Ovis aries: one gene and its partners. The protein of the gene in region 1 interacts with the protein of each later gene in a pairwise test. Links are inferred from orthologs where the notes say so. Each region holds a gene or a part of one and is shown in the gene's direction. Other genes may lie near its edges. The genes, in order: RINT1, FAM81B, EPC1, FAM110A, RIBC1, SFR1 and C5H19orf25.

Region 1 (4,217 bases):
AATGTCTGAACACACCTTTATTCTTTATCCATATTTGATTGGTAGTTTACTAGTTATGTACAGAATTTCAGTGTGAAATAAATTTTCTTTTGAAGTTTGACAGACATGCTCTGATGTCTTCTGGGTTTCTTTGTGACCACTGAGAAATTGAATGATATACTGATTCTTGATCCTTTCTAAATGATCTCTTTTTTTTTTCCTCTCTGGAAGCCTAGGGTTGTCTTTTTGACCTCAGCGTTCTGCAGTTTCACAGTGACAAGCCACGGGATGAGTCAGGTTGTATCCATTGTGCTTGGCTCTCAGTGGGACCTAGTTCAATCTGGAAACTCCTGACCTTTGGTTTGGAGAAATTTTCTTCAATTGTTTTGCTGGTGATTACTCTTTCCCTAATCGCTGTTTTGTTTTTGTTTTTCTTTTAGAACTCTTATTTTTTTGGATTTTAACCCCCCTGGAGTGGTCCTCTAATTTATTTTTTCTTTCCTATTTTTTACTCACTTGACCTTTTGCTTCCCACCACCACCACCGCTGCCCCCCACGAACCGCACCCCCCCCGCCCCGCCCAGGATATTTCCCAACATTGATCTTAAAACTATTTTACTGAAATTTTCATTTCTACTATTATATTTTTTTGTCTCTAAATGCTCCTTTTAAAATAGTAGACTGTTACTGCTTTATGGTTGCGATGGGGGTCACGCATCTCAGGATATAAATAAAGTTTTCTCCTCGTTGAATGTTTTCTGTTTTCTCTAAGGGTTGCTTATTTCCCCTGCCCCTGTTTGCTTCAGTCTCCACGGTAGCACTTGCACGTTTGTTTTGAAGTCGTCAAATCCCTGGGTTCGCTATTTAACTCTTGATGGCAATCCTAGTCCTCCTCCCTAGCAAAGAACAGACTTCTTTGGTCTCTGCACTGGGCGAAGTATATAGTAGATGCCGAGTCCTTTTCCTCCTTTCAGCTATCGGAATGTGATCTGCACCCACCAGGTAGGAAGTTGGAGGGTCACCTCTAGGTGTATCTGATTTGCGGTAAAAGAAGGATCCAAAGATAAAAGACATTGGAGATTCCGCAGCTAAAACAGTCCAACCAAATTACATTAAAGCCAGTCGACAAGCCCCCTCACACTCTCAGAACATCTGGTATATCATCGGAAATATAAGTTGAAATGACTTAAGTGGAATTTATGTGGAGGGAGGGGTACCTTCAAGCTCCATCATTAATGACCTCAATGCAGTGGAGAAGATTTTACCAAGGTTGAGAAAGACCTCGTCCCCGCCCCTCCTCTCCCCCGCTTCTCCTTCCAGAGGGGTTGATCCGACCCCCGGACGGCAGGGGGAGCCTCTGCACACGGCCGGCAGCTGCACGGGCAGAGCCTCTCTGGTAGGAAAGGAAGAAACCAGAGAGACGGTGCAGGAAGTTGCCGTGGCGTCCGGCGCTACGGTCTCCGAGGCTCATCTCTGATCGCTGGCGGGAGCCAGAGTCCATTGGCCACGCTGGCTGCGCAAGGAGCAGACGACTCGCGCGGAAGCAGGATGCTCCTGGCCGGCGAGAGCGGCGAGGCACCCGTCACTCCGGTTAGGTGGCCCTGGTGACCCGGGGAGGGGACACTGGTGGCCCAGTGAGGTGGCACAGACCTCCAGGGGAGAGTGTCTCAGTGAGGTGGAGTTGACGGCCTGGGGACGCGGTTGCCGTGACCCCGGGGAGATGGCCCTTGCTGCTCTGGCAAGGTGGCAGACCTCCCGGGGGAGGTGGCCCCAGTGCGGTAGCTCTGGCGATCCCTGGTGATATGACCTAGATCGTTCTGGAGAGGTGTCCCTGGAGGCCAGGCAAGGTAACCCCAGCTCTCTGGGGATGTGACAGTGGTGGCACCAGGGACGTGGCCCTTTGGGAACCTCCAGACTCTGGCCTCCCAGGAAGTTGAGAAGTTGTCCTCCACTGGATGCCCCCTGAGAGCCCTGTGTGAGTTCCCCCTGTCACGTCAGTCTTGATGTGTTTGTCTTACCTGTTCTCCTTCTAGTGCTGCTCTGAAAATGGTGACCAAAAGAAGAACCTCAAGGAGAAAAGTAAGCAGATTCCAAACACCTTAGCACTTTGCACCCAGCCATCGCTCCAAAACTCGGTTCTCGGGTCTGCATCCAGAAGGATCTTATTAGCCTGTTAATCTTTTAGATAAAGTATCGTTTTTTCCTTTTTGTACAACCTGCTTGCATAGTTGTTGACCCCATGGACTGCAGCACGCCAGGATCCTCCATCCTTCCTATCTCCCTGAGTTTGTTCAGATTCATGTCCATTGAGTTGGTGATGCTATCTAACCATCTCATCCTGGGCCACCTTCCTCTCCATTTTTCTTCAGTCTTGCATAGTAATAAATACTAATCATCATGCACATATTTTTGACTTTCAAGATTGTGTAAAATGTGGGGTAATTTGGAGACTAGCACTTCCTGATCCCTACCTAGTGCAAGGACTGGTGTGGTTTCACTCCAGTGCTGCCCTTCCACTGGGTTCAGAATAATTGGGGCCTGCCTGTTATTTTAATGAAGCATCAACTTGTTAAGCATCAGGAATTTGGAGGGGCTAATGATCTAGGAGAGATGACCATCATCATAGTTGCATTTAAAGGAGTCAAATAATAATTGTTTAGTTGTACTTTACCTTCAGTGAATTTGCAGTTAACATTGATCTGGGAAGAGCACAACAGATCACCTGGTTCCTGGATCTTGAACTGGGCAAGGAAAGGGAAAAGGTCAATGTTTACTACCTGCAGGGGCACATGCCAGGGCTGTGAACATTTGGCATTTTACTTTAATGAGCTAAATGTGGCAAGCTTTTGGGAAATCATCAAGGGCTTTTGAAGTGAAATTTATGGGTAGAGGAAGGGGGAAGCATGGAACAGCTGTTCCATCAAAGAGTTTTTGGTTCTTCTGACCATGGCAAATAGTCTGGGAATGAGTAGTGGTAACAGACAGGGTGCCCATGTTACCATATTGGCATTAGGACTTAGACTTACCCTTAACATTGCCTGTTGCTACAGTCTGTCTCAGAAAGCAAGCTATGAGCACTTCATAGTACTTGGCAGTCACAGCTGCCACAACTCAGCTCCTTTTACCTAAAGGCAAAGGATTTGAGAGGATCTCATACCATTCAGTTAAACCCTTCCCTTTCCACCTTTCCCCCATTCATATGCTTGGGAAGTTGATGCCACTGAGCTGTAGATTTTATCTTTGTCTCTCCTTTGGTGGCTTGGTCAATTTCTCTGCAATTAAAAGTGTGCTTTACAAAAAATAGAGGAGAGACATTAACACCTCCCTCCCCACCCCCGAAAATTACCAGTGGGTCATTTTAAAGGATGTTATTTGAATAAGAATGTACTATGGTGCATTTAAATGGTTAAATCAAAAAAGTATAATATTTTTGTAAAAAGTGAAGGTAGAATTTACTCTATAAGCTACAGCAAGCTTAGAGTTCACAAAATATTCCCTCCGCCCATAGTCCTGCCTCTGTGTCTGCAGATACATCACACAAACTTACATGTTTTATGTAAGATAAATGAAAAGACATGGCATTGAGACTCCTGTACATAATAGTATATGGATTCCTGTAGTAATAAAGTTTGATGCAGTCCAGCCAATTCTGATCATACCTGAAGGAGAAGGTAAGAATATTGTGTTAAGAGTCCCACTTACAACCTTTTAAATGTAGGCAGGGCAAATGTTAGAATTTATAGTTGGGAAGTTGAGGCATAGACTTTTATTAGTTTTGCTGCTACCTACCAGTGGGCTACTGGTTCTCATAGCATGGGAAAAAGCATTTAATTCTTATAAATTGAATAGAACAAAGGAGAAAAAAAAATTTATGGGCTGGGGAGGGGAATATACACAGCGTTAAACACTGGTATATATTATGTTAATTGCTGATAGTTACATTTTACACTTAAGCATATCTTTATTTAGATATTCTTTCATTTTGTCAGAAGTGGCTGTTGTTTTCTAATGAGGCTGTTATAACCTCTTGCCCTTCATTGCTGTTTCTTTAAAACTTTATTTTTGAGAAGCAGACTCACAGATACAGAGAACAAACTAGTGGTTACCCATGAGGAGAGGTAAGTGTGGACAGGCAATATAGGGGTAGGGTATCTAGAGGTACAAACTATTACGTATAAAATAAGCACTGAGTGAAATAAGTCAGACAGGAAAAGACAAATATCCTATATCACTTACAT
Region 2 (4,163 bases), on another chromosome or scaffold:
AAATCATGCATGTTTTTATCTATGGGATCAAAATTTGTCACTTAGTATTCTGAATGTCACGCATGCCCACAGAGCAAGGCAAACCAGCACCATCATGTGAAAAGTGACTCAGCCAGTAACATCACTTCTGTATATGAGGGCCAAGCGGTATTAGCAAAATATGCAAATTCTAATTTTAAAAGTCAGGAAAATACCTCAGAGCTAAAACAGTCCACATCTTTTTGAAACAAGCCAAACAACCAAACAAAGCCTGTCTACCCACCCACCTGTCACTGTAGCATTCTTTGTAATACTCCACCTAGTGGCCTGGAGGAGTTCAGTTCAGTTCAGTCACTCAGTCATGACCGACTCTTTGCGACCCCATGGACTGCAGCACCCCAGGCTTCCCTATTCATCACCAACTCCTGGAATTTACTCAAACTCATGTCCATCGAGTTGGTGACACAATCCAACCATCTCATCCTCAACTGACCCTTTCTCCTCCTGCCCTCGATCTTTCCCAGCATCAGGGTCTTTTCCAATGAGTCAGTTCTTTCCATCGGGTGGCCAAAGTATTGGAGTTTCAGCTTCAGCATCAGTCCTTCCAAAGACTATTCAGGATTGATCTCCTTTAGGATGGACTGGTTGGATCTCCTTGCAGTCCAAGGGACTCTCAAGAGTCTTCTCCAACACCACAGTTCAAAAGCATTAATTCTTTGGTGCTCAGCTTCCATTATAGTCCAACTTTCACATCTGTGCATGACTAGTGAAAAAACCATAGCTTTGACTAGATGGACCTTTGTTGGCAAAGTAATGTCTCTGCTTTTTAATATGCTTTCAAGGGTGGTCATAGCTTTTCTTCCAAGGAGCAAGCATCTTTTAATTTCATGGTTGCAGTCACCATTGGCAATGACTTTGGAGCCCAAGAAGAGTTAGCTGCCTTAACTAGCATACTTGGGGAAAAAGATTCGGGAGTAGGGCAGCATCTCATTTCTTTGTTTAATCTGATGGAAACTGGTCTCTTCTCAAACTTTGAAGGGGAAATGAGCAGAAGGGTATGAAATATTGGTCTAAAAATAACCACTTCCCACTGATTGAGACAAAGAGGTGGGGAGGATCTAGCGATTTTTACTACAATGAGCATTAAGGAAAACACTTGAAGCCCCTAAATCCAGCACCTAAAGTGTGGGGACCCCCAACCCCATCGACATCACAGTTCCTCCCTGCAGTCACAATGCCGCTGGGCCACCCAGCAAGATGCCCCAGAAACATGAAGACTTTGGTCAGGATGCAATCAAATTTCCTTAGTACTTTGGCTTTCAGAGAGAGAAAATAAAAACCTCTGTTCCCGTTCCAAAAAAATGAAGTCAGGAAATCAAGCGTCATGAGTTCAGGTATTTACCTCATGGATTACTCAAGGACTCTACATGTCTCATTCTTGGCTAGCTTACTTATATTTCTTTTTACATACAAACAAGGTAATAAATCCTGAAGTAGGTACTCAGAAGGCTTCGGCACAATGGGGTGAGGAATCATTGCCTATTATCAGTCTGACCTAGATGAATGCCTCTTAGCAGTTTCCTGACTGTCTCATGGCAGTATCCGAGGTGATAAGCTGTTCTGTAGGTGTGATGCGGACCTGGGGGAGAACTGGGGAGGAGAGGAAGGAGGGAAAGACGTGTGAAACAATGGGAAGCCTCCCTTTAATTTCACTGTATGTTCAGAAACTGCCCTCAATTGAAAAATAAACAATTGCCACTACTGCAAAAACTTCATTTGCAGTAGTTCCTGATCTGATTCAGCATTCTGGTTGCCTAGAGACGGATGTAAACAAAAGTGCCTCCCCGACTGCCGCTGCCAAGGAACAGCCAGAAGAACCTGATGGCCCCCTTCCTGGCTCAGCCAGTGAGCAAGAAAAGAAAGCAAGTACTCTTAGATATTCATATGAAAAATAGGATATTTTGTTCAGCTTCTTTAAAGCTTAATGTTGCTTAGAGAGATCTCAGGAGTCCAGGAAGAGTTGCTTTCCTTTTCACTCTCTTAACCTTTCCTGTTTGTTCTGCTTTGAAAAAATGACTGAGGCCAGCACAAGCTGCAAAGAAAAATGATCTCGATTTGTCAGTTCATTCACTGGACTGACTTTTAATATGGGGAGCTAGAAATTTGATCATTATTTATTTTTGTGAAGATTTAAAAGGAACTCAAATTGTGGATGTTATCTCTAACAAAAAAGAAAATAACTAAATAAAATTTTTATTGTTATGTACTTGTCATATCTTCCCCATTAATTTTTTAAAAAACACTCTAATAAGCAGTGTTTTCAGACTTTGCTTTATAATTCTGACTAGCGGACACAGCCTCTTGTGATGGGAAGAGGACCGGAAAGCTAGCATAATGGCAAGCAATGACTTTTGGTATCTACTGGCTGTACAACATATTGGCTGCATGACCCAGTTACTTAAAAACTCTCTGCCTCCTCTTATGTGAAATGGGCTGATTAGGCCTATCCTAAGATGTGGAGCTTGAATGAGCCTCTAAGGCAAAGGCAGGTAGGAAGGACTCAGCTTGACCATTATCACCAGCTGCATGATGCTGAGTAAGTTCCTTGCTTCTCTGATTCTCAGATTTCTCACCTATAAAAATAATCATCTTAAATTCTTTCTCTAATAAAGAAGGATTTCAGTTACTTAAGGTAACTGTTGTTATCCGTAAGTTAATGATTCTCACTTCACAGAGCTGTTTCAAGAATGAAATTACATCATATATGTGATCATATTTTATAGTCCATTCTATATTGCAAAGCATTATTACTAAACAAATGAAAACTAATACTTCTAAATGTCCTGTGATAATCACAGTTGTTTATGAGGCAATTTTGATATAATTATGCTTAGTTTGTAGGAATAGCTGACTCCTATATTCAATTCAATCCAGTGGGTTAGCTGACTCCTATATTCAATTAGCAAAAATATAAAACCTTAGTCTTAAATACCTAAAAAAGTGCACAAAGAGTAAATAGATTATGCCCCAATGTTAACAGCTTTTGCTCTAGGATTGTTTTTTTCTGCATCTTTTACTTTTTCTATATTTTTCCAAATTTCCCTGAATTGTCAAGTTTAACATTTATTACTTTAAAAGTATGTGACTTGCAGGTATGCTTTTAAGAGAATGTTACTTATTGTCTTCCAAAGCAAAACTTTAAAATGAGCGAAATAAAACTGATTTAAAAAATAAATAGATAAAACAGATATATATCCAACTGCTTTACTTCAAAAGAAGAAACGAAGACAATAGCCCAGTTAGTCATTGTCCTTGGACGCAATGTGCATCGCACTCTTTCTTTCCACAAGTGCTCACAAAAGAGTAGGAGGTGCCGAACATACAAGGCCAGGGACCAGCCCACAGACAAGCTCCCACAGGCTGGGCTGCAGCTGTGGAGGGGTGAGAAGGAAAGAGCTGGCATTAAGCAGATGGGGAGCCCATGGCACAGCACTGTTCCAGCCGGAATCCAGAGTGAAAACACAAACCAGGGCAGAAGACCAATCCTGTTCTCCAAGGAGCTGGGATGGTTTCCATACCACAGACATCTGTGTGCTCAGGGCATCAGTATAATAAACCCATTCTCTAGCAAAGACCTGGCTTTGGAGCACCAGACTCATGGTGAACTCCACTCAACATTGGGCAGAGAGGGTCTGAAGCACAATTAAATGGCTCACTGGCTCCCTCTGCACAGCCTCAAGCTTTTTCTGGTCCCTTCCACTGAGTCGGCTGGCCAGGAGAGCCTGTTGTCAGGTGGTGTTCTATATTAGCCTCCTTGAAAACAAACTGAAGAAGGCTGAGCGCCGAAGAATGGATGCTTTTGAACTGTGGTGTTGGAGAAGACTCTTCAGAGTCCCTTGGACTGCAAGGAGATCCAACCAGTCCATTCTGAAGGAGACCAACCCTGGGATTTCTTTGGAAGGAATAATGCTAAAGCTGAAACTCCAGTAATTTGGCCACCTCATGCGAAGAGTTGACTCATTGGAAAAGACTTTGATGCTGGGAGGGATTGGGGGCAGGAGGAGAAGGGGACGACCAAGGATGAGATGGCTGGATGGCATCACTGACTCAATGGACGTGAGTCTGAGTGAACTCCGGGAGTTGGTGATGGACAGGGAGGCCTGGCGTGCTGCGATTCATGGGGT
Region 3 (3,500 bases), on another chromosome or scaffold:
TGAAAGGAAAATCAGTATCTCTTGGCCCCTAGACCCATGTTTTTTACTACCATCACTTCTGGTGTATATGATACTGTGCATTTCTTCTAGAACATTTATCAGAAATGTCCAGGGAAATTTTTATAACTAGACTCTGGAGTTTAGAGATATGTAAGAAATAGGCTAACATAGGGATCTAAAATCACAGTGAGTGTTAGTGATCTAAAGTGTTGGTCGCATTTTTTTTTTTAATTTCTAGATCTGCATTAGGAAGTTAACAGTTGTTTAAAAAATGAAATTCACAAAACCCTCAGAGACTGAGGACTGAAATGTTGACTTAAATAGGGTAAAATATTTGGAACCTTTATTGAAATCGATTTATAACTTAATATTGCTAATTTTAAGTCACAAACACCAGCAAAGTTCTGCAAAAGAATATTTTCATTCATATAAATGGAGTTCTGAACACAGATCTATTCTAGTGAATGCTAAATTATTGTTTTTTAGGTGTGTAATGATGTAACCTTCCAGTAATGGGGTTTTTTGTTGTTGTTGTTGTTGTTGTTTTTTCAAGTTTATTAAGCATCTCCTACCAGGAAATTCAAGATTTAGGCAACTCACTCAAGCTTAGGAAATTAAAGTAGATGATGCAAAAACATATTAGCAATACTTAAATTGTCTTTTTGGCATTAAGCAGTTTCTTTTTATGAAATTTTTTAAGCATAAAGATAAATATTATGTTAATTGTAATCTGTTTCAAGACAGCCTTATTTAAAAAAAATTTTTTTTAAGTTCTGATTTAACTTATTTCTGTTATATGGAAATGGTCATTTTGACAGAAACTTGCTTTTATGAAACTATTTATGGATTATCCTTTTAGCAATAAAAAAATGTATTTATCAATAAAAAAGAATTTTTCCTGCAGAGTTCAGAGCTGAGGATTACCAACATAGTAGGAAAAAAACAGGGCTTCCCTGGTGGCTCAGTTGTGAAGAATCCACCTGCCAATCAGGCGATAATGGGTTCAGTCTCTGGGCCAGGAAGATCCCCTGAAGAAGGAAATGGCAACCCATTCCAGTATTCTTGCCTGGGAAATCCTGTGGACACAGGAGCCTGGGGACACAGTCCATGGGGTCGCAAAAGAATCGAGCATGACTGACTAAATAACAAGAAGAATCTCATCACAGGACATATATCAACTAAACAGATGTGTAACACCAAAAATAGGAAAATAAATGGTAGAGTTTTTCCAACAAATGATTTTTTGCCTTTGTAACCCAGGAAATTAGTTCAGCTCAAGTATGAAAGTCTGTGTAAGTACTGCAACTTCAGAGGTTTTCTGAAATATTATGTCACAGTTTTCTGACTTGTTTAAAATATGGTAGAATTTCTACCTAACTTCTAGCTAAGTATTTTCTAGTTGTCCTAGGCAGAAACTCTGCCCCAGAAGATAAAGATTCTCATGAGTTATAAGGGAAAATTGCAAAACTTGATGATGTAATATTCTAAATAAATTATCAAAACATCTTTAAAGATGACAAATTAGTTGACAGTATTTTGAAGACATTAAACCTTAGATTGAGGGAATATGCATGGTTTATAGATTCCCTAGTGACTGAGGATGCATGCTAACCCTTTTTTTTCTGTTCTGAAATAATTCTTACCCAAACACCACAGGCTTCTTAAAGAAGCCTTAAAGTCAGATGTTGTGATTGTATGTACGTTTTTTTCTTTTTTTTTTTTTAATTGGCAAAAAAAAAAAAGAAAAAGGTTTTCCTTTTTAAAAACTGCACACACTTTTTGGGGGGGTAATAAATGAACATTTTTTTGTTTGTTTTTTTTAGAACTGAGCTCTCCATAGACAAACATAAGTAGCATAACACAGTGTCTTTCCTCAGACATCATTCTGTACAGTAAGCCAACATAAACAACTCCGTTCTTATTGACTGGATTTTTTCCAGGTGGGTTAATTGGGTGGGGAAAATTAATTAACCTTTGGAGCCTCTTTTCTTCCTGTTAAACTTAAAGGATGGGTTCTTTTTTTAAAAAAAAAAAAAAAAGGTAATAAACCAACAACCTTATATTTCATATGGAGGAAATATTTGTAATGACTAAAATTCAGAACTATGTAGAACAGCTAGTATTTCTGCACAGAACTGCTGGAGATCATCTGAATGGATTAGGACAGTAGTATGAATAAATAAAGACACCAGATGGTAATTATTGTATCTCTTCTTAAGCTCAGTGCAAAGCTGAATTTCCAACATGCGGTTGAAAAAAGCTGGTATTACCTTTTACACTGTCTGGCACAAGTGTCACAGCTTACCAAAAAAATAATGGTTTCAAAGCTTGGGAAGTGAGCACTTCTCTTTGGTATGTGCAACTCAAAGTTTCACTTTATTTCTCTTTAAACTCAAGCCACTCTTGTCAAGCGTGGTTATAAAAAATGCTGAAATTCTCATTCAGAAGTGATCTTTAACAGGATGCTCAAATGCTTTCATTTTGCGCAAATTTTTTTAAATGCTTAAATGTGTTTTCGTATATTGTAAGTTGCATGTGATAGCTGTGCGTTTCTATAAAGTGTTCTCTCGTTTTATGTTCAGCATTTACAGCCGAACAATACCAGCAACATCAACAGCAGCTGGCACTCATGCAGAAACAGCAGCTTGCACAAATTCAGCAACAGCAAGCAAGTAGTAATTCCGCCACCACCATGCCACAGGTGAGGGATTTGTCTGTCTTATGATTATCCCTCATGTTTCCCACCAGAGTTCATCTCTAATTACCAACTGTTGTCATAGAGCCTTGCATCTAACCAGCAGAAAAGTGGCTTTCGCCTGAATCTACATCATAGCCACTCTATACAGGGTTTAGAAAGAACATTACAGGTGAGTATAGAAGCTGTCACCCTCTGCTTCCTATTGTAAAAAAGTAAAACCTAAAAGCGCAAATGAGATGGAGACCCTGTCCTCAAGCCTGATCTTGTAGTCTGTGAATGTACCTCTTTAACTTACAGCCCCACCCAGCTCATTATCTGGAGAACTTTTAATTCTTCTTAAAATGTATTAAAAATTATGCTAAAATAACTTCTTTTACTCTTAAAAGAAATCACTTTTGAACCTAAAGCATGATAAATATTGGCCATTTAAGCACATTTATAGAACTTAACGGAAGGCTGAGATTTGTGTCTCTAGACATCTGAGAGGAAAATATCATTTAAAAAATTCAAGGGGCCTCTTAATCTCTAGGCTGAGTTAGGATGCGATTGATGTTTTGTTCCTCTGTTCTAAAGGGGTAGTCACCTTACTGTCCCTTGGCTGCCTTAGGTTGTGTATGTATGTGTGTAAGTTTGGTGAAGGGAGTTTTGCCTACTCACCCATTCATTATATGAATTTATTCATGCAGTGATTCATTGCAAATCACCAAAATGTTTTACTAGCATGTTTCTTGTTTAACACTTTGTGTTGGAGGTTTACCATTTCCACATTTTAAAGGTTTATTTTGGTAATTTCATATTATAT
Region 4 (3,940 bases), on another chromosome or scaffold:
GTACATAGTGCTTTGAAACATACTTTTGAAAAATTCAATCTTTCTTAGTGCTAAATATATTTTAATCATATCATTTTTAATGACTGTATAATATTCCTCAGCAAAAAGTGAGGATATTTAAAGGTACTTATCAGAGGGTTATGCCATGAGCAGTGATGAGAGTTTTGTCATGCAAAGCTTCTGGTATATATAAAAACCTCAATAAATTCAGTTCTTCCGCAGGATGGATTTATATAACCAATTTCCTTTCACTGAGCACTTAAGTTATTTTCATTATTTTGCCATGATAAAGAACGCAGGGCATATTAATCTTCGCTCACATCCTTAGTAAATTTCGGGACTGCTGGGCATGCCCATCTTCACACTAACTTGCTCAGCATTGAGCAGTTAGAGGAACAGACAGGAAAACTGGCTTGCACTGGTTCACATAGCCTGTCAGCTGAAGTCAGGACTGCTGCTGCTGCTGCTAAGTCGCTTCAGTCGTGTCCGACTCTGTGCGACCCCAGAGACGGCGGCCCATCAGGCTCCCCCGTCCCTGGGATTCTCCAGGCAAGAACGCTGGAGTGGGTTGCCATTTCCTTCTCCAATGCATGAAAGTGAAAAGTGAAAGTGAAGTCGCTCAGTCGTGTCCGACTCTTAGCGACCCCTTGGGCCCACCAGGGTCCTCCGTCCATCAGCTAAGTCCCGGGTGAACAAGAGAAAGAATTAGCCGCTTGAGCTAAAGGGGCTGCTCAAAGAACCTGAGACCACCGGGAAGCTGAAGGGCGGGGAGGGACTGAGAAGGCAGGGCGCTCCCACGCCAGGCCGAAGCTAAGCCGTTGCCTGGCAATGCGGGCGGCGCGGAGTTCGAACGGAAGCGAGAAACCAATCAGGATGTCCGGGGCAAACCATTCTGGTGTCGGGGAGGGGGGTGAAGCGACGCGCTCATTTCCCCTTCCCCCGGTGCCCCGGGGTTTTCGCTTCCCCTCTGTGCCCCCAGACCTTCGCTCTGTCTGGGACCTTGGGACAGTCAGGTTCTCCGGCTTATCTCGGGTGCGGAGCACAGCTCCGAAGAGGCCCCCGCGGGTCCTCACGTGGGGCTTGGGCCTCCCGAGCCGTGTTGGGTGCGGCCATTCCCCGCCTGACTGGGTCCGAGCTGTCAGCCTCCTCAAGACCCACACTGGAGGAGCGGGACTCGCCTAGGCGAGGCTCCTTGTGAGGGCACGGGTGGTCCGGGGCGCGAACCCGGGTGTAAGGGGGCGCTGTATTCACCCCTGCGGTGCGTGTTCTCTCCGAGTCCTACGAGGGTACCCCATTTCACAGATGAGAACGCTGAGGCTCAGAAAGACGAAGTCTGGCAGAGAATCTGATTCAGATCTTTCTGCTCCATCTCGCAGTCTCTAGCATAATAGTTCTAGATTTGCCTTGAGAGACCCTGACAGGTAACTGGTGGTCGCTTTCTTAGCCTCTGATCAACAGGAGCATGAGAGCCCTGGCTGCATCCGCTCCAGGCTGCCTCTCCCCAGCGTCGGCCTGGGGTCTTCTCCCCACCATCTGTCTTCATTTCTCCAGAAAGCCAGGGGTGGACTTGGGGCTCACTTGAGATCCTTCAGCTTGCAGGGCTCTGAATTACAGAGCTCTCCCTCTCAGAGAGAAGATACGGGTGGCTCAGGCAGGACTGACATTTCTGAGCTAGGTGCCAGGTGGGGAGCAGATGCTTTGGCCCTGGAATTGCTGTAGGACTCTTGGGAATCTACTGCGGGTTGGGCAAAAGGGTAGGCACAGCCCTCAGCCAAAGACGCTAGTCACCAGAGACACTGGACTTGGTCCTGGGCCCAGGACCGCTCCTGGTAGAGCATCTGACCTACACCAGGCCTTACCTCCTGGGGAACCCCCTCCCCACCTGCTGGTTGCTATGGGTTTCCTTTCGTAGGTGGGCAAACTGAGGTTCTAAAAAGTTAAGCCCCTTTGCCCAAAACCACATGGTCAGACTTGGCAACTCTGGGGCTGGTTCCCAATCTGTCTGGCTTCCATCTTAGAATCCTAGACACTCAGAATTGTAGCATCTGGGAGTCTAGAATCTCTTCAAGGGGAATTATTTATCCTCTCTCCTCCAAACCAGTCTCCTGGCTTTAAAGGGAGCAGAGCTCTGGAAATTCAGAAAGAAAACAAGTCTTCATTCTTTCAACAAATATTTACTCACTTCATATGCTCTGCCTTGTCTATTTTGTTTTTCTCAGTAGCATTTACCCCATCCAATGTCCTATAATTTCACTTATTAGCGAGTTTATTATCTTCCCGGACTGGAATGTGTTGCAGGGAAGGGTTAGGGTGAGGTAAATGAGGTAATCGCCTCCAGTGTGAAACTGAGGGGTGCCCAAAGCCCTAGGAATCAAAATGACTAATGCTAACATTTATTGATCATTTTTGTGTGTTCTGCTGGTGGGAGATCAACTCCCTGGATCACAGTCCCTCATCTCTGTCACAATTACACATGCACCCCCTGACCTAGCTGTCCCACTTCTGGGCAGAATGATATAGGTGCAGTGAGCCCACAGTGTGGGGTTTTTGGGTTTTTTAAGGCTCTGCCTGAGAACTCTTTTATTTATTTGTTTATTTTTGGCTGGGCTGGGTGTTCGTTGCTGCCTGGGCTTTCTCTAGTTGCAGGCTTATCATTGTGGTGGCTTTTCTTGCTGTGGATCATGGGCTCTAGAACTTGGAGGCTTCTTTTGTTGTGGCCTAGTTGCTCCATGGCACGTGGGATCTTCTACCAGGGGTAGAAGCCATGTCCCCTGCATTGGCAGGCAGATTCTTAACCACTGGCCCACCAGGGAAGTCCCACAGTGTGGTTTTTAATAGAGACTAGACACACGCTCAGTGGCCATTGGTAGGGACTGATGGGCTCTTTATGTAGTACAACATATATTATTTTGTTAATAACATTATAATTAATAACATGCTAATAACATATTAAGAACATATATTATTCAATGAAAGAATAAATGAAAACAATGCACAGAACATGTTGCTATGTGTAAAAAAAATAGAATATATGTCCATTGTTGCTTGTATGTGCCTGAAATCTCCCTGGAAGGACATATAACCATCTGATCATAATGATTCTTGCAGGGAGGGGAACTGGGTGGCTGGGGATAGGAGTGGAGGGAGGTGTTTTTCTTTTTTTAATTTCCTTTACAGCTTATGAATCTTAAGCCATGCACATGTATCACCTGGTTGAAAAAATATGTGTGTATTATAGATTGTTTATCTAATCATGAGACCACTGCCCTGTCTATGATCTGTCATTAACTTTCTTGTGACTTTGGACAAGGTTCTTGACATCTCTGCGCCGAGAAAAGAAGCCATGATGGTGCGCTTCGGCCCAGGCAGAGGGCAGTCCGGGACAGGAAGTGGGCTTGGTTGTGGGTCTGTCCCAACTCCACCTTCCGCATCCTGTGTGCCAGGCCCTTCCCTAAGGCTTTGCGCGCAGTATCTCTCTTAGTCTGCACTGCGAGTCCCTTTGTCCTCATTTGGCAAGCTCAGGTGCAGACCTGAGGCCCAGAGGACTGAGTTGGTGGAGGTGTGCAGTTGGTGGGCCAAACGGGAGATTGCTGCCTTAGGCAGCTGCACCCACACCGCTTCTGTGGCCTGTTTACCTTTCTCTTCCTGAGGTTTGTGCAAGGTTGCCCTGGGCAAGGCTGACTGCAGGCAGGCCAGGGCACGAACATCTGGGAAAACTCCAGAAATAGTGTGGGGCCTGGCGTGGGCCTGGAGGATGCCCAGCTGGGTGTCTCTGGCCCTGGCAGCTGTCCTGGAGTCTTCTGCTGCCTGGAGCCTTCCTGGCTCCCTCTGGGGCAGGAGAGGGCCTCTCTGTCTCCACCGAAGTCTGGGCTGGACTTCTGCTAAGGAAAAGGAGAAGCAGGTGGAAGGGAGGGGTGAGGTGGAAGTGCACAATGTCATA
Region 5 (3,500 bases), on another chromosome or scaffold:
GTCAACTAGGCATTCTCAAATAAAACAAGCACTTCAGCTATAGCCAATCAAATAATTTCCTTGTTTTCCATCTCTTTAAACATCTTTCCTTAAACTCTTAACCACTCTGGTTTGGCAGTACCCAATTTGTTTTCTGCCCAAATAAACTCTTAAAAAATGTTTCTAAGTCTCAGCAGCTCATAAAGACAGGTTTCTCACTCCACTTCTTGTCCATTGTGGGTTGGCTACATCTCTGCTCTGTCTTCACTCCAGGACCAAGACTGAAGGGACAGCCCTCACCTGGGACATTGCTGGTCCCACAGCAGTAAAGAGAGAATATGGCTATCACTTAATGGCTCTTAGTTCTGCCTAGGAATGGCACTGTCAGTTCTCACTTTCCAGAGGGCAAAGCAGATTATGCGGCTAATCGTGAGGGCAATATGATAAGAATATAGAATCCTGTAAGGACGGATACCAAAGAAAATTTTTTGGGGGCTTTGTGAGATCTTAGTTCCCCACCAGGGATCAAACCTATGCCCCCTGAAGTGGAAGTGCAGAGTTCTAACCACTGGACAGCAAGGAAATTCCCAATAGCATATCTTTTTGAAAAATAACAAAATTTTCCATACTATCTGTATCTATCAATGGGTATGGACCTCTCAAACTCAACACCTCCAAAACTGATCTCCAGATTCTCATCCTATTCTATTCTCTCCATACAGACTATTTAGTTGATAGCAATGCATCTGACTGCCCCAGCCCAAATCCTTGAAGTCATTCTTAACACTGCTTCCTCACAGCACACCCAATCCATCAGGAAGTCCTGCTGGCTCTGCCTTCAAAATATATCCAGAATCTGACCACTTCTCCCTACATCTGCTGCTACTAACCTGGCGTGATCATCATCTCTTGCCTGTACAACTGCAATAGCCTCCTGTCTGGTCTCCCTGCCTCTAGCCTCCCTTCCCATCCCCTCCAGTCTATTCTTAACACAGCAGCCAGAGCAATCCTTTACAAATCAAAGACAGGACACATTACTCCCACTGCTCAAAATCCTCCAATGGCTGCCCATTTCTCTGAGTAGAAGCTGCAGCCTTTACAATGGTCTGTGAAGTCCTACATGCTCTGCATCTCCCCACCCAATCTAATGTTATTTCCCACTCCTCTTTCATTCACACACTTGCCTCCCTGCTGTCCTCTTGAATGTGTGTGTGCCTCTTTTGTCCACCTTAAGGCCTCTGCACTTGTTCCCTCTGCCTGCAGTGCTCTCCTCCTAGTTATCTGTATAGGAGACTCCCTCACCTTCTTCAACTATTTCTTTCCCAGTTATGCCTCCCCTGACTTCCATATTTAAAATTGCAACACTCTCCCCGTTTCTTTAGCACTTCCAATTCCCCTTATCCTGCTCTATATTTTTTCCCAAAGCACTAATCATCTTCTTACAAACTATTTAATGTACTCTCTCTAGTCTTGTCTGTCCCCACTAGAAAGTAACTTTCACAAGGACTCAGATTTTTGTCACTTTTGCTCCTTGATGTCTCTCAAACGCTTAAGGGATTGTCTGTCAGTAGGCACTTCATGAATATTTGTTAATTGATAAATGAACATGGGTGAAAAAAACAAGATGCAGAAGAATGCATACTGTGTGATACTCCATCAAGTTTCAAGACAAAATATTTTTAAATGTTCAGGGAATCATACACACACATATGGTATATTAGTGCATATTATTAAGGGAATGGTGACATTTTGGATAGTGGTTATTCTTAGGGTAAGGATGAAGAAGAACAGACATAAGACACTTAACTAGTATTAATCGTGTTCTATTTCTTAACTAGGGAGTTGGTTCATGGGTCTCTTTTATCATGCTTCCTTTTCCTAAGTTACATATGGCTTATATATAATTCCCCTGTGTGCATCAAATATTTTAGTTACAAAATGGTTAGACAGTGAACAAGTGAGGTTGGAACTAGCTGTAGGAGTTGATGTATGGTATTCCAAACAAAGGAATGCAATGTACAAAGGCCCTGAGGTGGGAACAGTTGTAGTGTTGGAGGACTTAATAGGAAGCCAGCGTACCTGGAGAACAGTAAACAAGGAAGAGGGAGGCATGAGATGAACCGGAGAGGTATGCAGGAACCAGATCTTGAACCACAGAAAGGGGTATGGATCTAATTCTAAGTGTGGTAGGAAGCCAGTGGAGGATTTTAAGCAGGTGTAAGACATGATCAGATTTATGTTAGCAAGAGATTTTGGCTGTGGCTTTGGCTGGGCTTCCCAAAATACAAAGGAATGCAGGCAAATTTAAGCCTTTAATTTGACTAGAGCATAAGTAATAAAAATAAAGGGGGAATGGTGGTGGCATTTACTGAAACAGAAAAAACTAAATAGAGCCTAATGCAAAAGGGATGTTGTAAATCAGTTTGAGACTTGGAAAGGTGAGCAGGAATCAGATCATGAAGACTCATAAAACCAAAACATTGGGGAACAATTTGGTTTATGCCATGCGTGCATGCTCAGTCATGTTCAGCTCATTGTAGCCCACCAGGCTCCACCATCCACTGGATTCTCCAGGCAAGAATACTGGCTCGGGCTGCCATTTCCTCCTCCAGGGGATCTTCCCTCCTGCATCTCCTGCACTGGCAGGCAGATTCTTTACCACCGAGTCACCTGGGAAGCCCCCTTGCTTTATAGATGCTTTCAAAGGTTTTAAGCTGCGGTGTGCCATGGTCAGATTTGCTTTCAGAAAAATCACTTTGGTAGCCAAGGCAGAAAAGCAGTAGAGAGCCTAACACTGGAGCAAGGGAGCCCAGTGAGGTTCCTGGGAACATTATCTGGCCACCAGCTTGTGAGGCCTCAATTAGGGTTTCGACAGCAGAGATGGAGAACACAGATATGAAATATGTCAGGAAGTAAAATCAGTAGGAATCAATAGCTGGTAAGATACTGTGGGGAGAAAGGAATGGGGGGTGGGGGTATAGTCAAGTATGATGGTTAGCACTAATTGGCCATCCAACTCGCCCTTGCTCCAGATGTATCAGGTAGATCTGCCACCAGATCCCAAGGAGGTGGCACCCACCGAAGCTAGAAATCAAGAAAAGGAGCGACAGAGTCGATTCTTCAATGTGCGGACCAGAGTCATGGGGGTGAGTGGGCAGTGGGGACTTTCTCTGGACCAGGGGTCACCTCACTCTTACACCAGGAGAGGAACATAGCCGTGCCCATCACAGCCCCTCCCTGATTTGAGCAGACTGCAGGGTTATAAAGGAAGGAGGAAGGGAAAAAGGCACCCACCCCAGCATGTGGTGAGGGCCTGAGAAAGAGGCCTAGAGGTGCAGGGGAAGAGGAGCCAGTGACAGCAGACTCTTCTCCAGTCAACTCTAGGCCAAGTGGTCTGGTTTTCAAGAGACAAGTAAATGGAGCCAAAAGAAGTCTATAAAGAATATTTGGTATTGCATGCATATGCCAAAACTCTCTGGAAGGCTACATAAGAAACTGGTAACTGATGGGAGGGACACTTA
Region 6 (4,056 bases), on another chromosome or scaffold:
CTAGGAGGACTGATATTATATCCCCTCTTTATGGATGAGGAAGCTGAGACACAGACACATTCCATTATAAACAACACAAAGGCGCTGGGATCTGAACCTAAGCAATTGGACTCCAACATTTATGTTCTTAATCACTGCATTAGGTGGTCTTCAAGTTCTGTAGATACATTCCACTGTTTAGCACTCAGTTATTCCGTCTGGGTCCTTGCTACTTGTAAGCCATTTATATCAGATATTAGTAAAAAGACAGTGTCAACGTTTAAAATGGCTATTCCTTAGAATTCAAAACACTGCCCCGCTAAAATTCCCAACTTCCACGTGACTCAGAAATTACTCAACTGTCTTTTCCCAAACTCAGTGCTCCACCCAATTAGTTCACTTTGTTGTTGCACAGCAACGGAACCTCGCTACACAGGAAACGAGGAGGGTTATTTTAGACCGAGGATGCCACTGCCCAGTATTCAGCCAGGGTTTGGACCAACCTAATCTTAGTCATTGTTCTGCTTCCTGTATTGCACCCCAACGACTTTCCTTGGGCTACATTTTCTTTCAGGTTTGACGAAAAGATTCGGAGCCAAGCTAAGAAACCTAAATTTTCAGACAGATTCGCCAAAAGAAGGAAGAGAAAAAAACAAAAACAAAAAACCACCCGTGGCGGGACCGCAGACTTTGAGGCAGCAGTCTAAAAGAAGCTCTACTGGTTCCGCTGGGGTTCTTAGATTTCTAATGTGTCTGACTGTCAACGGGCCATTGACCCATCTTTTTGTAGTCTTTGCCTTTGGAGTTTACAAGCTGTAAATATAACACACAGCAGGCCCGGAGTCTCTGGGTCCCGTGGAATCTGAGAAAAGGCCTTTGCTGTGGGGAGCGCGAAGAGACTGATGGGAGCTAGGAGAACAGGAGGGGCATTCTCAGGCGTCCTTTAGAAACACAAAACCCAGGAAGCTGCAAAGGAAGGCGGTATGAAAAAAGAGCGAGAAGAAGCCGCGAAGAAAAGCGCGCACCTCATGGGAACCGTTAGTTGCTTTAAAGCTCTTCCCAGCAAACGGCCGCGCGCGCAGTGCCGCGACTCTCGGGCGCTGGGCGGAGCAGAGCCGCGCGTATCGGTCAACTCGGCCAATCACGCGTCACGGCCCCTCCGTTTCGTCCTGCCCCCTTGCGGAATCTCGAGGCCGCGCGCGCGCAGTCCCGCCTCTCCGGGCGCTGGGCGGAGAGGACCTGTGTGTCAATCAATCTGGCCAATCGCGCGTCTCTTCCTCCTCCCGCGCGGCCCGGCCTCTGAAACGGCGCCGCGGCTAGCGCGCTCTTTGTGCTGTCTGGGGATGGCTGAGGGAGGTACCGTGCGGGGTGTGGGGTGGGTGTCTGACAGCTGAACTTCTTCGGGGTTCGGATGGGGAATTGAATAATGCTCCCTTTCCGCGGTCAAGGCACCTCTCAGCTCCACCTCAGGTTTTGGGTGTCTCGAGGGCTCGTGTGGGCCTTCTGTAGTGGCTGGAGGGGAGGGAGGGCTCCTCTGGTATTTTACCCTGTAAAGTTGATGGCCTTTGAGAAACTTAAGTCTCTCCTTTTCACGGTCTCTTCGCTATTTAATTGAAAACGATGCAGACAGGAGTAAACTTACCTGTGCTTGTGCTCCTTATTCCTCACCCCCGGGGGGCGTTAGTTTTAGGCACACAGCTTCTAGGATTTAGGGTAGTGTGACAGGTCTGATTATGTTTATTTAAGTGGGATAGTAGTGGGAAGTAGGAGAATGTGATCCATAATCAAGAGGAAGAGTAATCAATAGATAAAGGCATAAGATGAACTCAATTTAAACACCGAAAAGCACTTTAAAGAAGTTATAAATATATTTTTTTAATTTTAAAATATTGTCTTCTGTTGTGGCTCAGCTGGTAAAGAATCCGCCTGCAATACGGCAGACCTGGGTTCGATCCCTGGGTTGGGAAGATGCCCTGGAGAAGGGACCGGCTACCCACTCCAGTATTCTGGCCTGGAGAACGCCATGGACTGTATAGACCATGGGGTCGCAAAGAGTCGGACACGACTGAGCGATTTGCACTTAAAGCACTAAAGGATTTCAATTACATTTTCCTTCATTGTGAAACTGGCTTAATGAGATTAAAGAATTCCTGAATGTTATTCTCCTCCCCGCCTACCCCGCCCCACCACCATATGGCAGGTTTTGAGACTTTTATCAGTCAGTAAAAACAAATGGAGAGTTGTTTATATGAGATGCTAGCTGGGTAACTTGTCATGAAAAAACTAGTAGTCACCATAATGACCAACAATCTAATTTAGGGAAGTAAACAGAAAATTGCACGCAAAAAAGCAAGAATGAATCACAGCTAAGTGAAAGGAAGTTGTTTAAAATTGAATATATAGAGGTGTGGGCAAAGTTGATTTCTGTTTTGTCATTATTTTCTGTTTTTTAGAAGTAAAGCAAGATTTCAAGATGGAAAGTCCATCAAACTCGGCTTTGATGTTACCTAGCACTCCACAAGCTGGTGCCAATCCACCATCTCCCCATTCAAGTAGTTCAAGAAAACAAGTATGAAAATCTTAGTTCTTTCACTGGATGTATATTTCTAAGTATTGCAGTAATGGTGGTTTTAAGTCTACTGAACATTGTCAATAGTGTGTAGGTTAATAAATAAAATTTTTGTTAACATCATTTTAGGTGTTTCCTTTTAGAAAATGTATTGGACCTTCCTCTTAGATTTTCATCCTGACTCAATTATTTTCATTTATTTTCAGTTCAGGTTATTACAGCATTCCAAACAAAAAGTTTGATGTCATGGAGGTCTTTGGTGGAAAGATCTTTTTCCTTAATTTGTAACTAAGCACCTAACCATATCAGGCTTGGACTAATTGCTGAACAAATGTTTGTGATTACTGAGTAGAAGAGTGCTGGCTTAAAAAGAGAATAAAACTTAGTGGAGCTTCCAGAAATTGAAAGGTATTTTGTGATGGTTACTTTAGATATATGGAGACAGAAAGCCATCTAGTGGTGTCTGCCACAGAAATGTAGTCTTGATTCCTAGTAGATTTATTTATATCAAGAATGTTTTTCTTGATTGACATTAACGTTTGATGCCTTTTTCAGCCTATGAGTGCAACCCTTAGAGAACGATTAAGGAAAACCAGATCTTCATTTAATTCCTGTTACAGTGTGGTAAAACGGCTTAAAGTAGAGAGTGAGGAAAATGATCAGACTTTTTCACAGAAATCAGCACCTTCAACAGAAGAAAACTGTTTGGAATTTCACGAAAAATTTAAACACATAGATAGTGAATTTGAAGAAAGTACATATTTGAAAGATACCTTCAAGAATATCAATGTTTGTGAATCTAAATCACTTGATGCTGAGCCATCCAGTGATCTCCAAAATGACTTTATGAATGAGAATCTTGCCAAGCATGAACTAAACAAAGAAAAAGCAGAATTGATGAAGCAGATTCACGAGAAAGAAGATCTTCTTCGGAGGCTGAAGCTAGTCAAAATGTATAGATCAAAGGTGAGAAGAATTTCAGAGCCGTTGCCTAATAATTTTTTTGTTTGTTTGTTTTTAGATAAATGGTAGGAAAATATTTCAAAAAGAAAATACAACTTTATTTTACAATACTTAGAAATAAGCCAATTACCAAGAGACCTGGCTTCCAACAACTTTAACTCAAATATAAGTCATAGATTTAGAGAAGAGGCCTTAAACACCAAGTATACATTTTTGAAAGCCCCAGCCCACATTTAATATGCAGTTGAAGCTTTTCCCTCTAGTTTCCATCCCACAGCAGTATTAGAAGTTTCAAATGTTAGCTGCAAATTGCAATGAGAACAGAAGCAACAGTGACAGTGAAGAGAAAAAGGCTAAAAATGGGCCACAGAGTACAATAAAAAGTATTTTTAGTAATGATTTTGTGTAATTAAATTATTACCAACAAATTATTAAAATGTTTCATGCATTTTCTTTTAAGAAAACAACAAAAATATAATAAATTTTAGATCTCGATCCAGGTAGGTTGAAATGAATAGAATTTGGGCACTTGGAAGATGACCCTT
Region 7 (4,270 bases), on another chromosome or scaffold:
GTTAACCTATACTGTTGAAGACTGGCTTGGAGGATGCTTTGTTAGGCAGTCAGAGAAGCCAGCATTGGACCGGACACCCACCCTTTGTGCTTCTAGGCTCTGCGCAAGGAGGCTGATGTTGCTTCCTTCCTCATTATTTAACTTATATGCAGAGTACATCATGAGAAACGCCGGGCTGGAAGAAGCACAAGCTGGAATCAAGATTGCCGGGAGAAATATCAATAACCTCAGATATGCAGATGACATCACCCTTATATAGCAGAAAGTGAAGAGGAACTAAAAAGCCTCTTGATGAAAGAGGAGAGTGAAAAAATTGGCTTCAAGCTCAACATTCAGAAAACGAAGATCATGGCATCTGGTCCCATCACTTCATGGGAAATAGATGGAGAAACAGTGGAAACAGTGTCAGACTTTATCTTTTTGGGCTCCAAAATCACTGCAGATGGTGACTGCAGCCATGAAATTAAAAGACGCTTACTCCTTGGAAGGAAAGGTATGACCAACCTAAACAGCATATTAAAAAGCAGAGACATTACTTTGCCAACAAAGGTCCATCTAGTCAAGGCTATGGTTTTTCCAGTGGTCATGTATGGATGTGAGAGTTGGACTGTGAGGGAAGTTGGACTGAGTGCCGAAGAACTGATGCTTTTGAACTGTGGTGTTGGAGAAGACTCTTGAGAGTTCCTTGGACTGCAAGGAGATCCAACCAGTCCATTCTAAAAGAGATCAGGCCTGGGTGTTCTCTGGAAGGACTGATGCTAAAGCTAAAACTCCAATACTTTGGCCACCTCATGTGAAGAATTGACTCATTGGAAAAGACTGATGCTGGGAGGGATTGAGGGCAGGAGGAGAAGGGGACGACAGAGGATGAGATGGCTGGATGGCATCACTGACTTGATGGACATGAGTTTGGGTGAACTCCGGGAGTTGGTGATGGACAGGGAGGCCTGGCGTGCTGCTATTCATGGGGTCGCAAAGATTCGGACACCACTGAGCGAGTGAACTGAACTGAACCCCACTTCAACTCGCTCAGTCTTGTCCAACTCTTTGCGACCTAATGGACTATGCAGTCCATGGAATTCTTCAGGCCAGAATACTGGAGTGGGTAGCCTTTCCCTTCGCCAGGGGATCTTCCCAATCCAGGGATGGAACCCAGGTTTCCTGCATTGCAGGCGTATTCTTTACCAGCTGAGCCACAATGGAAGCACAAGAATACTGGAGTGGGTAGCCTATTCCTTCTCCAGGGTATCTTCCCGACCCAGGAATCGAACTGCGGTCTCCTACATTACTGGTGGATTCTTCACCAGCTGAGCTATCACGGAAGCTCCAGCCATTCTGCTCCAGTGTACTGAAACTCTCTCGGGCGTGGCCCCTTTACAGAGGGGTTGGCTTCGCGGTGGGCGGGAACCCGAGGAGGCCGGAAGTGCGCTTCACGTGCCTATAGGGCGGGCCCGCAGGCCGACCGGAAGCGGAAGTGGCCTCTCGGCAGCTGTGGCGGCTGAGTACCCGCTGCCAGGTGGAGCTTCTGCTGGAAACTTGTCTTGAGTGGAGCCGGACACTGAAGCCCCAGACCGCGTGCTGTTCTGCCTTGGGAGGAACGAGGCAGGGCCGGCTTCGCCGGGAGCGGGACTCCGGAGCAGGGCGCCAGGAACTGCGCGGTCAACGCTCTTTTCTCCAGCCTGCAGGGATGGGCTCCAAGGCCAAGAAGCGCGTGGTGCTGCCCACCCGCCCGGCGCCCCCCACGGTAGAGCAGATCCTGGAGGACGTGCGGGGGGCTCCCGCCGAGGACCCCGTGTTCACCGCACTGGCCCGGGAAGGTAGGGGGAGCCCAGGCCATGCAGGGGAAGGGCGGTCCCGAGACCCCAGCGAGAAGGGAAGCACCTGGCTGCTTTTGAGACGCACTAGCAGAGTTAAATGGTCAGGACAGAGACTGTCTGGCCCTACAGTGCCCAAAATACTTAGGTCTGGCCTTTTGCAGAGAAAGGGTGTCCACCCCTTGTTCAGAAGATAAACGGAGAACATTGATTGCAGGGGCCGACATACAGTTGTAGTCTGAATACTGTGTTCTCTATGAGGTTCGTTTATTCGTTCAGCCTTATTGAGAACCTCTTATGGGCCAGGTTCTATTCTAATCACTGAGGTGGTGAGGTGAGACCTGAACGTTGAAAGTCCCTGGGACTTCCCTGTCCGTCCAATGCTTAGGACTCTGCGATTCCACTTCAGGGGGCATGGGTTCAATCCCCGGTCGGGGAACTAAGATCCTACATACCACATGGTACAGCCAAGGCTCGGGGAGGTGGGGGGGATGAAAGTGCCTGTCCTCAGGCCATTCTAGTGGATAGAGAGGATTAGTATGAGGCTTGTGGGATGTCAGAAGGTGAGAAACACGTTGGGATTTTTTCGGGGGGTTCGTCTTTGTGACTTTTTTTTTTTTAATTAAAGTATAGTTGGTTTACAGTGTTAATTTCTGTTTCATAGTAGAGTTACACATACTCATTCTTTTCCATTATAGTTTATCACAGGATATTGAAAATCCTGCACTATACAGCAGGACCTTGTTGTTAATCCATTCTGTACGTAATAGTTTGCATATGGTTATCCAAAACTCCCATTCTTTCCACCATCCCCCATGCCCTCTGTGTGTGTTGTTCAGCCGCTCAGTCGTGTCCAACTCTTTGTGACCTCATCGACTGCAGCACGCCAGGCTTCCCTATCCTTCACCATCTCCCGGAGTTTGCTTAAACTCATGTCCGTTGAGTTGGTAATGCCATCCAACCATCTGATCCTCTGTTGCTCCTTTCTCCTCTTGCTCGAAATCTTTCCCAGCATCAGAGTCTTTTCCAGTGAGTCAGCTCTTTACATCAGGTGGCCAAAGTGTTGGAGGTTCAGCATCAGTCCTTCCAGTGAATATTCAGGATTGATTTTCTTGCTGTCCCTCCCCCTTGGCAACCACAAGTCTTTTCCTAGGTCTGAGTCTGTTTCTGTTTCATAGATAAGTTCATTTGCATTATATTTAGATTCCGCATATAAGTGATATCATACAGTATTTGTCTTTTTCTGACTTACTTCATTTAGTATGGTAATCGCTAGTTGGATCCATGTTGCTGCAAGTGACAATATTGTGCTTTTTCACTGCTGAGTAGTAATCCATTGTGTATATATACACCATATCCTTTTTTTTTTCTTACCGTACCCTTTTTATTCCTCTATCCATTTATCTGTCAGTGGACGTTTAGCTTGCCTCCATGTCTTGGCTGTTGTAACTAGTGCTGCTGTGAACATTGGGGTGCATGTTTTTTTTGAATTGTGGTTTCATCTGAATATATTTGCACAGGAGTGGGATTGCTGAATCATATGGTACCTCTGTTTTTAGTTTTTTGAGGAACTTCTGTGCTGTTTTCACAGTGGCTGCAGTAGCTTATATTCCCACCAACAGTGTAGGAGTGTTTACTGTTCTCTACACCCTCTCCAGCATTTGTTTATTTGTAGAGGTTTTTTTTTTTTTTTAATATTTATTTTATTTGGCTGTGCCAGGTCTTTGTTGTGTCATGTGAACTCTTAGTTGCAGCATGTGGGATCTAGTTCCCTGACCAGGGTTTGAACCTTGGCCCCGTGCATTAGGAGCATGGCGTCTTAGCCAGTGGACTACCAGGGAAGTCCTTATTTGTACAGTTTTTAATGATGGCCATACTGACCTGTAGGAGGTGGTACCTCATTGTAGTTTTGACTTGCCTTTCTCTGATAATGAGTGATGCTGAGCATTTTTTCATGTGATTCTTGACCATCTGTATGTCTTCTTTGGAGAAATGTCTATGTAGGTCTTCAGCCCATTTTTCAACTGGGTTGTTTTGTTTGTTGATATTGAGTTGAATGAGCTGTTTGTATATTTTGGAAGTCAAGCCTTGGTCAGTCACATCATTTGCAATTATTTTCTCCCAGTCTATAGGCTGTTGGTTTCCTTTGCTGGGCAAAAGCCTGTGAGTTTGATTAGGTCCTATTTGTTTATTTTTGCTTCTATTTCTGTTGCCTTGGGAGACGGACCTAAGAAAGCATAGGTAAGATCCATGTCACAGAATGTTATACCTGTGGTCTCCTCTAGGAGTTTTATGGTGTCATGTCTTATATTTAAGCCTTTAAGCCATTCTGGGTTTTTTTGTGTAGGGTATGAGAGAGTGTTCTAACGTCATTGACTTACATGTGGCTGTGGGACAATTTGTTTTTAAATTAAGTAACAGTAAAAATTCTGTTCTTTGCTGCACATGGCCACATT

What was found.
Region 2: the proteins of RINT1 (region 1) and FAM81B interact in binary tests that used the Homo sapiens proteins (3 or more experiments, as listed by UniProt). The two-hybrid records come from large-scale screens. The link is inferred for Ovis aries from reciprocal best matches to the Homo sapiens genes RINT1 and FAM81B.
Region 3: the proteins of RINT1 (region 1) and EPC1 interact in binary tests that used the Homo sapiens proteins (3 or more experiments, as listed by UniProt). The two-hybrid records come from large-scale screens. The link is inferred for Ovis aries from reciprocal best matches to the Homo sapiens genes RINT1 and EPC1.
Region 4: the proteins of RINT1 (region 1) and FAM110A interact in binary tests that used the Homo sapiens proteins (3 or more experiments, as listed by UniProt). The two-hybrid records come from large-scale screens. The link is inferred for Ovis aries from reciprocal best matches to the Homo sapiens genes RINT1 and FAM110A.
Region 5: the proteins of RINT1 (region 1) and RIBC1 interact in binary tests that used the Homo sapiens proteins (3 or more experiments, as listed by UniProt). The two-hybrid records come from large-scale screens. The link is inferred for Ovis aries from reciprocal best matches to the Homo sapiens genes RINT1 and RIBC1.
Region 6: the proteins of RINT1 (region 1) and SFR1 interact in binary tests that used the Homo sapiens proteins (3 or more experiments, as listed by UniProt). The two-hybrid records come from large-scale screens. The link is inferred for Ovis aries from reciprocal best matches to the Homo sapiens genes RINT1 and SFR1.
Region 7: the proteins of RINT1 (region 1) and C5H19orf25 interact in binary tests that used the Homo sapiens proteins (3 or more experiments, as listed by UniProt). The link is inferred for Ovis aries from reciprocal best matches to the Homo sapiens genes RINT1 and C19orf25.

The regions. Positions count from the first base shown.
Region 1 is NC_056057.1:48,154,293-48,158,509, forward strand, and holds the start of RINT1 (RAD50-interacting protein 1), read left to right. Parts: upstream 1-1,417; 5' UTR 1,418-1,527; coding exon of another isoform or gene 1,528-1,569; exon of another isoform or gene 1,570-1,954; intron 1,955-2,012; coding exon of another isoform or gene 2,013-2,058; intron 2,059-3,507; 5' UTR 3,508-3,544; coding exon 3,545-3,650; intron 3,651-4,217. UniProt on the Homo sapiens protein: Involved in regulation of membrane traffic between the Golgi and the endoplasmic reticulum (ER); the function is proposed to depend on its association in the NRZ complex which is believed to play a role in SNARE assembly at the ER.
Region 2 is NC_056058.1:92,331,285-92,335,447, forward strand, and holds the start of FAM81B (protein FAM81B), read left to right. Parts: upstream 1-1,363; coding exon 1,364-1,373; intron 1,374-1,761; coding exon 1,762-1,901; intron 1,902-4,163.
Region 3 is NC_056066.1:32,590,651-32,594,150, forward strand, and holds part of EPC1 (enhancer of polycomb homolog 1), read left to right. Parts: intron 1-1,823; coding exon of another isoform or gene 1,824-1,840; exon of another isoform or gene 1,841-1,940; intron 1,941-2,582; coding exon 2,583-2,701; intron 2,702-2,780; coding exon 2,781-2,867; intron 2,868-3,500. UniProt on the Homo sapiens protein: Component of the NuA4 histone acetyltransferase (HAT) complex, a multiprotein complex involved in transcriptional activation of select genes principally by acetylation of nucleosomal histones H4 and H2A.
Region 4 is NC_056066.1:59,933,525-59,937,464, reverse strand, and holds the start of FAM110A (protein FAM110A), read left to right. Parts: upstream 1-1,140; 5' UTR 1,141-3,940.
Region 5 is NC_056080.1:51,298,218-51,301,717, forward strand, and holds part of RIBC1 (RIB43A-like with coiled-coils protein 1), read left to right. Parts: intron 1-3,011; coding exon 3,012-3,125; intron 3,126-3,500.
Region 6 is NC_056075.1:24,378,832-24,382,887, forward strand, and holds the start of SFR1 (swi5-dependent recombination DNA repair protein 1 homolog), read left to right. Parts: upstream 1-1,256; 5' UTR 1,257-1,322; coding exon 1,323-1,335; exon of another isoform or gene 1,336-2,432; coding exon 2,433-2,548; exon of another isoform or gene 2,549-3,103; coding exon 3,104-3,514; exon of another isoform or gene 3,515-4,056. UniProt on the Homo sapiens protein: Component of the SWI5-SFR1 complex, a complex required for double-strand break repair via homologous recombination. Acts as a transcriptional modulator for ESR1.
Region 7 is NC_056058.1:41,554,046-41,558,315, reverse strand, and holds the start of C5H19orf25 (UPF0449 protein C19orf25 homolog), read left to right. Parts: upstream 1-1,470; 5' UTR 1,471-1,687; coding exon 1,688-1,817; intron 1,818-4,270.